Mus musculus: one gene and its partners. The protein of the gene in region 2 purifies or fractionates together with the protein of the main gene of each other region. This does not show direct contact. Links are inferred from orthologs where the notes say so. Each region holds a gene or a part of one and is shown on either strand. Other genes may lie near its edges.

What was found. The genes of interacting proteins can lie anywhere in the genome.
Region 1: the proteins of Atp6v1a (region 2) and Atp5c1 fractionate together in Homo sapiens (co-fractionation; 3 studies listed by BioGRID). This does not show direct contact. The link is inferred for Mus musculus from reciprocal best matches to the Homo sapiens genes ATP6V1A and ATP5F1C.
Region 3: the proteins of Atp6v1a (region 2) and Atp6v1f fractionate together in Homo sapiens (co-fractionation; 3 studies listed by BioGRID and IntAct, with this or other methods). This does not show direct contact. The link is inferred for Mus musculus from reciprocal best matches to the Homo sapiens genes ATP6V1A and ATP6V1F.

The regions. Positions count from the first base shown.
Region 1 is NC_000068.7:10,077,653-10,081,891, reverse strand, and holds the start of Atp5c1 (ATP synthase subunit gamma, mitochondrial), read left to right. Parts: upstream 1-1,381; 5' UTR 1,382-1,488; coding exon 1,489-1,544; exon of another isoform or gene 1,545-2,179; intron 2,180-4,239. Other genes in the region: Kin (DNA/RNA-binding protein KIN17), read right to left, coding at 1,148-1,261.
Region 2 is NC_000082.6:44,104,738-44,108,298, reverse strand, and holds part of Atp6v1a (V-type proton ATPase catalytic subunit A), read left to right. Parts: intron 1-411; coding exon 412-574; intron 575-1,255; coding exon 1,256-1,364; intron 1,365-3,561. UniProt on the Homo sapiens protein: Catalytic subunit of the V1 complex of vacuolar(H+)-ATPase (V-ATPase), a multisubunit enzyme composed of a peripheral complex (V1) that hydrolyzes ATP and a membrane integral complex (V0) that translocates protons.
Region 3 is NC_000072.6:29,466,570-29,470,640, forward strand, and holds Atp6v1f (V-type proton ATPase subunit F), read left to right. Parts: upstream 1-1,213; 5' UTR 1,214-1,247; coding exon 1,248-1,405; intron 1,406-3,497; coding exon 3,498-3,699; 3' UTR 3,700-3,940; downstream 3,941-4,071. UniProt on the Homo sapiens protein: Subunit of the V1 complex of vacuolar(H+)-ATPase (V-ATPase), a multisubunit enzyme composed of a peripheral complex (V1) that hydrolyzes ATP and a membrane integral complex (V0) that translocates protons.

The sequences.
Region 1 (4,239 bases), on a different chromosome or scaffold from region 2:
TCCAGTCAGTGGCAGTGGGACTGGGTTCAGTCTGTGATGACTTACTAAGAAGGTGGCATAAGGTCAGTAAGATGGCTCAGTGGCTAAAGGCGCTTGGTGCCAGATGTGACAACATGACTTCAATCCCAGGACCCTCAAGCTGGAAGGAAATAACCATTTACATGTGGCCCTTTGATCTCCGTATGGATGTATCTGTTTGGTGCAGCATGCACACATGCATAAACACATACACCAAAATAAGATAACAGAAATATGACGCAGTGCATGAGGGCTCAGTGGTAGAGCATTTGCCAGGCATACATAAGACATTAAACAAAACTTGTAGCACTGCTTAATAAACAACCTCTCTGGTCCCCATCGCCACCACAAGACTACCAAGAAAGTATTAATATAAAGTAGGGTGGTGTATATCTCTGATATCAACCAGCACTTGGGAAGCAGAGGCAGGTCTATCTCGTTTTTTGGCCAGCCTGGTGAGGTCCAGACCAGCCAAAGTTACATACTGAGATACTGTCTCTAAAACAAAAATATGTATCAGATAATGTACAAGAATTTTTATTAGTTCTGTTATATTGGTGGCATTTTGGCATTAATTGAAAAGATAATACGATTACTTGTTATGTTGATTACACAATTAAGTCTTCAAGGGTGAAGGTATACTGATATTCATATATTTATATAATTTACTATATGATGTAAGCAAATATGGAAAAACACTTAGCGGTCACTCCTAGGTGCGATGGACTGCACGCCTGTACCTTTGGGAACCCACATACTGAAACTATAGGATAGCAGTAGCAAGTCGGGAATGAAGCATTTATGTCATGGAGAGTTCTTCTCTCCATGAAAAAACTCGGCGACAATCTTGCCGGTGGGTACAACTATTACCTCTACTTTACCAGTAGTGGCCAAGCCCATGTCACTATTAAGCGGAGCAACTTGAGTTCCTCGTCTTGACCGACCGACCCCACCAGGGAAGTCTAAATGTAAAACCTCAGTGCTCAGCCTAGCGATTGTAAGCGATCAGTGAGTGCTTGTCTGCGACCACTTCTCGTGGAGCTGGAGGGCTTCGCGCCGAGCTGGGGAAGACTGCGCCGGAGAGGGCTCCAAGCCGAGGGAGGGGTCGCGGCCAGCCTGAGTCACTTACCTCGTCGCGGCATTGCTTTTGGCACATCTGGCAGTACCAGCGAAGCTTCTGGAGCCCTTTGGACTTAATTCTATTGGCGATGGCCTTGGGGCTCAGAAAATCCGACTTGCCCATGGCGACCCTGAGCGCTACAACTACAAAGCGGTCGGAAGCGGAACTGGCTCAGCGCGGGGACAGGCGGGACCGAAATTGACAGCAGGAAATGGGTGGGGCCAGGGAACTCGCGGCTTCGGCGCTCACGAGATTTAGCGAGACCGAGGACGCAGGCGGAGCGGGCCGGGGCGCCTGAGCTCCCGCGCACGCGCACTGAGTCCCGTCTGCCCGACCTTCAAGGCTCCACCATGTTCTCGCGGGCGAGCGTTGTCGGGCTGTCGGCCTGCGCCGTGCAGCCGCAATGGTAGGACCACATCGGGAGGGATGCGGGGGCTCGGGCTTGCTGCGAGGCAGGAGGGATGGAGCTGCATGCTCACTCCTGGCGGAAGAAGGCCCCAGCTCAGGCCGCGGGGATGTCTGCAGAGCTGGAAGGTTGCGTGCCGGACCCCTGGTAGGGGTCAAAGAGAACAAGGTCACGGTCTGATCCCCTGAGACTGGAACGGCCATCCGGGACCTCGGGACCCGGACGGGATTCGGGTTGAGCTTTGGAGCCATCTGGGTTTCGATCAACTCCGTACTTCCGCTCCGTACCCGGGAGCACAGCTTGCAAAGTCTTTAGAAAGGCCCTGAAGGTGAAGGGGCGACCGGGGAACGTTTGGTTGTAACTTTTGGCTTTGAAGCCCTGTGAAACACTGCACGGGGGAGCAGCGTGACCCTTTAAGGTGTGATGGCTTGCTTGAGCTCTTTGGTAAGGCATTCACTGTGTAGCCATCCGACTCTTTGCTGGGTACTGGAGAAACGAAGGAACTCAAAATCAGCCCCCGCCTGAACCTGCTGGTCGCCTTGGTGCTAAAGGGGTTTAAAAAAATCTGCCGATGAGGAAGAGAAAGACATTGCCATTGTCATCATGCCCTCGTGTTGAAGTACAATCTCTGCAAGGTCATAAAACTGTCCCAAGGTCCCTCGGTAGGAGGAGGAGGCCTTAATACAGTTACATTTGTTAGCCTCCATTTGATAAAGGGATACCATAAGGTTGGGCGACTTTAAATACTAATCCTCTGTGCAAAATAAAATAGTTGTATATTAGAATGCCCAGGGAAGGTCAGGTAAAACGTGACTTATGGGTGACGTTGTATAATAACATGAACTACTTTGAAGCTAGACTGCTAGAAGAACTGGTGCTAAGGAGATTGTTAACTGTGGACAGTGTTTTAGTGGTTCCTTGTTTTTATGGTACAGAGGATTATTAAGGCGCTCCAGCACTGAACTAGGGTTTTGTAACCTAGGTTAGAGAACTGCCAAGAACTAGTTGAAATAGTTCTTTCATTAAGCAAAGAATTTGTAGCAATATGCTAAGACTCCAAAGTAGTGAGGCAATTAAATACGATAGATATGAACTATGTATTGGAAGAATGTTGGTGGTGCACACCTTTGATCTCAGCAACTCAGGATGCAGAGGCAGGTGGGTGTCTGAGTTCTGGGCCAGCCTAGTCTGCAAAAGGAGTTCCAGAGAATGTGTGTGTGTGTGTGTGTGTGTGTGTGTGTGTGTGTTCGTTCAGATGTTGTTAGATTAACCTTGGAAGTCAGCTTGAGTTACTTATATGGAGGTCAATAACAGTTGCATTCTCAGTTGTGTCTCCTTCAGCCAGTAGATATTTGTGGAGTGCCTGCCCTGCACCAGTTGGCACTTCTTAGGTGATAAGATGTGAAGGGTCTTTGTTGGCATCCAGTGGTCCTCAGCAAACATCAGCTGTCTCCCGTGTTTGTGTATACAATGTGTGAAAAGACTATTCTTTTGTCAAGTGTAGTGAGGCCACTGTCAGAATTTGATACGCTTCCAATGTTTTCTTGAGAGTTAGCTAGGTATTAGCTGGTTAGGTGTTCACTAGTTAGCTAGTTGGGTGTTTTCCTTAACTCTACACTATGTAGCATCACACACTCCCAGCATTCCTTCCAGACTGCTGATTCGTTCATAGGCATCAAGTCTAACTCCTTCCTCTACCGACTTGAAGTCTTCAAATAACACTGTATGATCAAAGAAGATGCTGATACTTTCTCACAGTCCACTTGCTTCTCCATCAGCATGGTGGGTAGGGCAGGTTTCTGTACCAGCCTCCAGAGGATGAGTCGGGACATGGTGCAGTAGCTTCTCAGAGTGGAGTTCATTAAAGTAAATTAGCCCTAAAGGCTCGAGAGGTTCACTCTTGCCATCCTGAGTCTGGCTCTAGCTCCCTGGACATGCAATTGAAGGAGAGAGCCAACCTCTAAAAGTTGGCCTTTGACTCAGTACTCCATATTTCTATTTCCCCCATAATATTTTTAACATTTGTGAGCAGTCAGGTACCTCATGGCCATTCAGTGATGGAGCTGTGGTGTAGACAGTTGTCTTGAGCTAGAGGAAGGAGAACCATAACTGCTCTTAAAGTATACACTGCACGGAGAGTTAGAGGGCGGGTGTGCAACTCAGAACCGTCTGCATAACGTTCCATGGGAGCCTGTGTCAGTCCAAGCGAAGCTTGTGCCTAAAACCAGGTTTTCTAGCTACATGTGGAGCATTAAGGAAAGGAAAAAATAGAAAAAGAAACAAAGCTCAAATGGTGTTGCCTTTGTTGTGCCATTTCTAGAAGGGATTAATAGAATGGTCTCTGTGTCCAATAGCTGGTATGCTGAAATAGTTTGTCACATATTCCATCTTTGATCTTTTCTATATTTTTACAACCAAACCTAGTATTTTCTATATACTCTATTTCTTCTTATTTTTCTTTCTCTATGCCTATGCAAATCAAAAGTTTGATTTTGGGTTTTTTTTTTTTGTTTGTTTGGTTAGCTTTTAATTTTTTCTGGTGCTAGAGACTCACCTCAGGGTTTGAACATGACAGGCAAAGGCTGTACCCCAGTGTTGCACACCCCAATTTATAAGCCAAGAGACGGGACTTTTAAAACAACTGTTTTTGGTTTTAAGCTATATTATATTATTCTTAGATTTTTAAATGCCTAAC
Region 2 (3,561 bases):
GCTAGCCTTCAGTTCATCGGTAACCCTACTGCCTCAGCCTCCCGAATGCTGGGACTATAGGCAAGAACTGCCACATCCATCTTTTCTTTTTTTTTTAAGACATACTTTCTCTATGTAGTGCTGGAACTCACCATGTAGACCAGGCTGGCCTCAGACTCACAGAGATCCACCTGCCTCTGCCTCATGAGTGCTGGGATAAAAGGCGTGCAGCACCACACCTGGCTTATAGCCACCTTAAGACATATGCTATTAGGCACAAATGAGCTGCTAATAATTATGTTAATATATTCTATGTGTATAGAAATGTTTCAGAGTATTTTTACATCAGTTGCCTACTTTGTTTAGCAGTATACATTAGCAAGCTAGCAGCATAATAAACATTTCTTTTAATTTTTGTTTGTTGTCCTTCAGGTGTGTTCAGGGAGGAACTACTGCTATCCCAGGCGCCTTTGGCTGTGGAAAGACTGTGATTTCCCAGTCTCTATCCAAGTACTCCAACAGTGACGTCATCATCTATGTCGGCTGCGGTGAGAGAGGCAACGAGATGTCAGAAGTTCTCCGCGACTTCCCTGAGGTCCGTCTCTAGAGAACTCCAAATAATCGTCTAGAGGAGACGCAGCATGTCAGCATCGCTGACAACAGTTTATGCTCCATGGCAAAGAGTGCTGCATTCAGTTGTCAAGATGCTCTCAAAGAATTTTAAATTAATATTTTTCATTAATCCGTATATTTTTAAAAAGGAAAAATGAATTTTTCAAAGTCAGACACCTAGAATTTTCTCTTCTTTGTTCTCACTTAAGAGAAAAGTAAGATGGATAAAAGAAAAAACATTTATATTTTAACTGGGTATGGTGGCCTGTAATTCCTGTACTTGGGAGGCTGAGCCAGAAGGGTCAGTTCAGGGCTAGCCTGGACCATGTGAGACACTGTCTAAAAAACAAACCCTAAGAAACTGACCGTTTAAATGTGAAGCTTTTCGTGGGCTCTGTGATCTAGGTTACTGTAGTAACATGTCCTTTTTCATGAAATAATGGATTTCCTTTGTCCATTTGAAATGTCCAAATGAGATTGCCTGTTTGTCAGACAGTGCTGTGGGACAGGGCAGGGAGGTTGGCATGATGGGGATAGTCCTAGGGAATTGTGACGAAAGGATTAAACAGAAACAAGTTGTAGTCTTTGTAAGTGGGGGGAAATGTAAAATGTTAGAGTTACACTGAGACTGGAGCTCACGCACTAACGGATTTCCCACCCGTAGCTCACCATGGAGGTTGATGGGAAAGTAGAGTCCATCATGAAGAGGACAGCGCTGGTAGCCAACACCTCCAACATGCCTGTGGCTGCGAGAGAGGCCTCCATCTACACTGGTGAGTCTGGGGCTGGGAGAGAAGAGTTTAACACCAGCACCCAGCTTTTCTTTCCCAAGAACGTCATCTCTAAAAAAACCCTATGCAATCACTTTCCTGGCTTTTAAGAACTATCTGATTTATTATATGTATCATGAGAACAAGTCAACAACATTTTTTAAAAGATTGTATGGGCAAGAGGCTGTGTGGAGTATATTATGTCACATGTCTGTGCCCTTAGAGAACAGAGAGGATGTCAAGTCCTGGAGCTGGAATTACAGGCAGTTATGAGCTATCTATCCAGCTTGGTTCTGTGGACAGAGCTGCAGAAGCTCCTAACCTCTGAGCCATCTCCAGACCCAAACGTAAGATGTGTGTTGAGCTGCCCCAAAGGGTGGTGTTGTCTCTTCACTGCTCCTCTCCCTCACCTCCCCTGTACACCCACCCTGCCTCTGCTGCTGTGGTTGAGCACATTCGAGGTAAGCACTCCTGAGCTGCACCCAAGCTTCCAGCTCGCTCTCTCTCTTTCTCTCTCTCTCTGTCTGTCTGTCTGTCTGTCTGTCTTTCTCTCTCTCTTCTTGGTTTTTTCAAAACAGGGTTTCTCTGTGTAGCCCTGGCTGTCCTGGAACTCACTCTGTAGACCAGGCTGCTCTTGAACTCAGAAATCCGCCTGCCTCTGCCTCCCAAGTGCTGGGATTAAAGGAGTGCGCCACCACGCCCAGCTGCCTCCAGGTCTCTTTTTTTTTTTTTTTTTTTTTTCACATGGGTAAGCATTTTCAGGGCTTTCTTTTTTTTTTTTTTTTTAATTAGGTATTTTCCTCGTTTACATTTTCAATGCTATCCCAAAGGTCCCCCATACCCACCCCCCCCCCCAATCCCCTACCCACCCACTCCCCCTTTTTGGCCCTGGCGTTCCCCTGTACTGGGGCATATAAAGTTTGCAAGTCCAATGGGCCTCTCTTTGCAGTGATGGCCGACTAGGCCATCTTTTGATACATATGCAGCTAAAGACAAGAGCTCCCGGGTACTGGTTAGTTCATATTGTTGTTCCACCTATAGGGTTGCAGTTCCCTTTAGCTCCTTGGGTAATTTCTCTAGCTCCTCCATTAGGGGCCGTGTGACCCATCCAATAGCTGACTGTGATCATCCACTTCTGTGTTTGCTAGGCCCCGGCATAGTCTCACAAGAGAGAGCTATATCTGGGTCCTTTCAGTGAAATCTTGCTAGTGTATGCAATGGTGTCAGCATTTGGAAGCTGATTATGGGATGTATCCCTGCATATGGCAATCACTAGATGGGCCTCCAGGTCTCTTAATGCTCATAAAACAATGTATTTATCTTCTTAATTGTATCATTTACCTGTATTTTAACATTGTACTATATGTAAGTATAGTTATGTGCCTATGACGTACTATTTTTAGGGGCTATAAAAGATAAGAAATGTGCTGTGTTGCACACTTTTCATCTTTGCTCCCTCAGCCTCAGTGCTTAGGACCTTCGTTTTGCCTTTTTTAGGAATTATTAACTCTCTACTTTATTCTAGAAATAGAGAGCCAGTATTATTTAGACTTTGGCCTTCCCTAAATGGAGCCAGTGTTCCCTGTGGCTAGCTTCTTGATTTCTGGTTTTATTCTATGTCCTTTGGAAGTTTCTGCAAGAAAGACTCACAAAATCTTCATTTTCCTTGAACTCTTGCTTTCTTCATAAGTTTCCAAGTTTTTTTTCCCCCTTTGCCTTTAACAGTTGTGTTTCTGAACTAAAATTATTGGTAGTTTTTGTAGCCTGGTAGTTTTTACTAACATGTGTTGACTTTCATAGACTTCATGATTTATGATCTACTGGGGTAATATAGTAATACTTACTTTTTTCATTTTTGAAGCAGAAGGAATGCCTACCCAAACCGCAAGAGTGGTTTGGCTGAGAACAAATTTCTTGGATCAGTGATATTTTCCTGAGAACACTTATTCAAGCAGGCAACATTGGGAGCACAAATCTGAGAATGATTTTCCCCCTTGTAGAAGTAACTTTTCTTGGTCCGGAGAATTTCTCTTTAAATTTAAGTCTCATAGCTTTCTTAGGATATTTGGCATTGTTGATAGCTTAGATACGTCTTTCTCAGACATGAACCGTGTCAGTCTCTGAATTTGTTTTTTATTTTGAAAGACTTGAGAATTTTATCTGCAACCTTTTCTTCCATTAGACATACTAGAGCCCTTCT
Region 3 (4,071 bases), on a different chromosome or scaffold from region 2:
GCCTTGCTTGGTTTCTACAGCACTACATAGTGTCATCATTCATTTGCCTATTTCTTTGGTAATTTAATATATATTCAGTAATTGTTAGCCATGTCATAGTTAGCATGCATGTGTACATCATACCGATTCAGACCTTGACCTTCCAGCTAGGAAATACCTGTTCTTGGACAGTTATGGTAGCCTATGTCTGTAATCCCAGACTGAGGCAAGAGTTGAAACAAACAAATGGACAGGAAATAGTGGTGCATTTCTGTAGTCCCAGCATTCAGGAGGATGATGCAGTAGGACCACTGGCTGCAAGTTCAAGGCCAACCTAGTCTACATTCTGAGTTCCAGGCCAGAAAAGGCTACATATAGCAGGTTTCAAAAAACAAACTACCAAATAAAACCAAAAAAAGGGGGTAGGTAGTTTGGCCTAATCCTAATATTTGGATAAATCTTTTTATAAGATTTATTTATTTCATATATGTGGGTACACTGACACTGTCTTCAGATGGTTGTGAGCCACCATGTGGTTGCTGGGAATTGACCTCAGGACCTCTAGTAGAGCAGTCAGTGCTCTTAACCACCTAGCCATCTTCCAGCCCTGAGACCTATCTTTAAAAAAAAAAAAGCACTGGGTTGACCAGATGAACCTCAAGGTGACTCTCATAGGGTGTATTATGACCTCACAAACTTGTGGCCTGCTCCACTGCCACACTACACCTGCCTCCGAAATCACAAATGTAACAACAAAAAGATGTTTTTTTTTTTTAAGTCAAACAAATCAAGCACACACTGTTCTGTTTTGTGTAATGGCGCAGGCCTATAATACCAGCATTCGGAAAGTAGAAGCAATAGGATCTATCCTCTTCTACACTGCAAGTTCAAGTCCGGCCTGAGATAGGTAACCATCTGTCTCAAAAAAGCCAAAACCAAACTAACGTACACTGAAAAGAAAGAAAAAAAAAGTATGTCCCCTAAAGTCTCGGTCTCTAATAACACTAGGTTCAAAAGGCATTTCTTCCAAGAGAGAAGAAATTAAGGACAGAATGCCAGAGAGAGGCCTGTGACGCTCAGCCTTCTGGGAGACGTAGTTCTGTGGTTTGTGTTTCTGGCCTCTATGGCGCAAGAGTACGCAGATTAAGCGGAGTTCCTGCTAAATGCGCATGCCCGGGAGGCGGGGAACTGCGCATGACTGAAGGGCGGGGTCTCTGCGGGGGCGGGGCATCACAGGTGTTTGGGAAGCGCTCTGCCCGGCGGACAGGATGGCGGGCAGAGGTAAGCTAATCGCGGTGATTGGAGACGAGGACACGGTGACTGGTTTCCTGTTGGGCGGCATAGGGGAGCTAAACAAGAACCGCCACCCTAATTTCCTGGTAGTGGAGAAGGATACCACCATCAATGAGATCGAAGACACTTTCAGGTACGGTAGCCTGTTAGGCCTAAATGGGTCCTTCCGCTTGCTACAAGCACGGGGAGAATTGGTGGCCTGATAACCTGGGTGTCACGTGGTGATGGGGACCGGGATGGTCCCGGAAGTCGTCTGTCCACCCTGAGCAGGGGCCTCCGCCATCTAAGTTCCCTTTTGGGGCTCAGTGGGGTCCGGCCTACCGCAGGTCCACGAACTTTCCCCATCACATGATTGTGTGTCAGTTTAGGAGGGGAGTGGAGCTTATGGTCTGCACCAGCTGTAATTGGACGCCTGGAGCCTCTTGCCAGTGCTGACCGGCTTGTTCAGCCCTCTTCCGGGGTCTCTGTAGCGTATTCTCTGAACCTTAGTCTTTTCGACTAAGAAAACTAACCACCTCCAGCGTAGGTCCGGACAGTGGGCGCGTGTGTGTGTGTGTGTGTGTGTGTGTGTGTGTGTGTATACGCTTCATTTATCTTAGAGGCTTACAATTGTCCTGTAAGGTACTGGTTATTCCCAGTTACTAGTGAGAAAAATAAAGGACAATTGGTTAGGGCACAGGCACATTAGCCATAGGAGGCAGAACCCAGGTCAACTCTTTCTTTTTAATTACGGCGTTTGTGTGTGTCCGTGGGTAGGTGTGCACACATGGAGGTCAGAAGACAACTTGTGGAGTCAGTTTTCTTTCCATGGGCTTTGAGGATTGAACTCAAGTAACAGGGCTTGGATAACAAGCAGCTTTACCTGTGTCTTCTAAGTTACTACCCACTCTGTTTATTCAGCTCCCTGCAGTCTGCCATGGGGCTTCCATTTGTCTTGCGCACAATAAGCAAAACATCTGGGAAGTATGGCCTTCCCCAAAGACTTTGTACTTCAGATCTTCACATCATACCCTGGGTCGTAGTTTTTAAAACTGGGTGCAGGCATTCCTTTTAAGCCAGAAAGTGCACTGTTGACTAGAATTGAGGGTGCCAACTCTCTATTTTTTTTCCTCATTCCTTTTCTAGAATTACTATGCCAAATCTCAGGAATAAACTGCCCTCACCTGTTTCCCCTAAATAGCCCAGTCCAGGGATGCTGGCTGAGACTAGTTCCCACAGCCTGGAGCGTGGCAGGCTCTGACCTGGGAGACTGATCTCTTAGCAAACCAGTAAAGTGACCTCCATTGCCACTGGAGGACAGATCTTACTTCCAAGGATTTACCATGTTTCCAACAGGAAGGGGTCCTAAAATCACCAAGCCAAATCTACTCCATGCTCGACACAAAGTAGGTGCCCAGTGAATGACTTTTAATGAGTAAATACTTAGCTGAATGGGTGTGCATGTCTGTGTGTGGAGGTGATCACATGCGAGGAAGGCCAGAATGACAGTATCTGTCTGGAAATGGTGATTCCTTCATTGCTGAGTTTCCTCTTTCCATCTTGCCTTTGGCTTACAGCAGATGTCCTCCTGGCCCACCCCCTGCCCTAATCAGTATAGATGTGAGGCATCCAGTGGTCTCATTTACCCTATCTCAAAAATTTACTAAAAAGCAAAAGGTATACAGTAAGGAATCACCCTGCCACCCCCACCCTTTCAACCTCTATCAATAAGAAAATTTTGTTTTGTTTTACAAGACAGGGTTTGTGTAGCCCTCCCTGACTGTCCTGGAATTAGCTCTGCAGACCAAGCTGGCCTTGAACTCCACTACCATTTAGTCTTTTTCTTTCTTCTCTTCTCTTCTCTTCTCTTCTCTTCTCTTCTCTTCTCTTCTCTTCCTCCTCCTCCTCTTCTTCCTCTTCCTCCTCCTCCTCCATTTTTTTTTTTGTGGTGGTGGGTGGTGGTTTGTTTTGTTAATAAGGCTCTTGTGTTTCTAGACTTTCATGCAGACACAGAGGGGCTCCTATTTCTCTCTCCTCTGCCTCTCCTCCACAGGGGCAGCTTAAAGAACACACTGACTTGCACCCTGGTCTTCATTACCAGTTCCCTCCACGAGCTGATGTGTGGACTCCAACCCTGAGCTGTGTGGTTCTGAGCTCCTATGTGTAGTTGCTTCATCCAAGAAAAGAGAAGGCTGAAGGCCTTATACCTCCGGCCACTGTCAATTCCTCTTCTTCTCCCCCAACAGGCAATTTCTAAACAGGGATGACATTGGCATCATTCTCATCAACCAGTACATCGCAGAGATGGTTCGGCACGCCCTGGATGCCCACCAGAGGTCCATTCCAGCTGTCCTGGAGATCCCGTCCAAGGAGCATCCCTACGATGCAGCCAAAGACTCCATCCTGCGCAGGGCCAAGGGCATGTTCACCGCTGAAGACCTGCGCTAGGGCTGCTCAGCCCTCAGCCCTCCTCATCACCAGGCCTCTCCTGGTTTGCCATGCTCTATTTAAGTGTCAAGCCTTGGTTTCCAGCCCCTCCCTTCCTCTTCACTGAGTGGCTCGTAAGCTGTTGGGGTTCGGTTGTTCAGGTCTAGGCTGGGTAGAGAAAGAAAGCCCAACTGTTTCTCCACTGCCTCCTCCCTGTGCTGTTAATAGTATCGTTGTTGATATTAAAGGAATTATTCTCTCCAAATGGGTACTGGTATGGATACGTGAAGGTTGCAGCATTGGGGGACATTAGACTTGCAAATATGGAAAAGCAAGGTGAAGAATAATTGGTGGGGGGAATAATTCAAGGACTGGTCACCTGGATCAGAGACT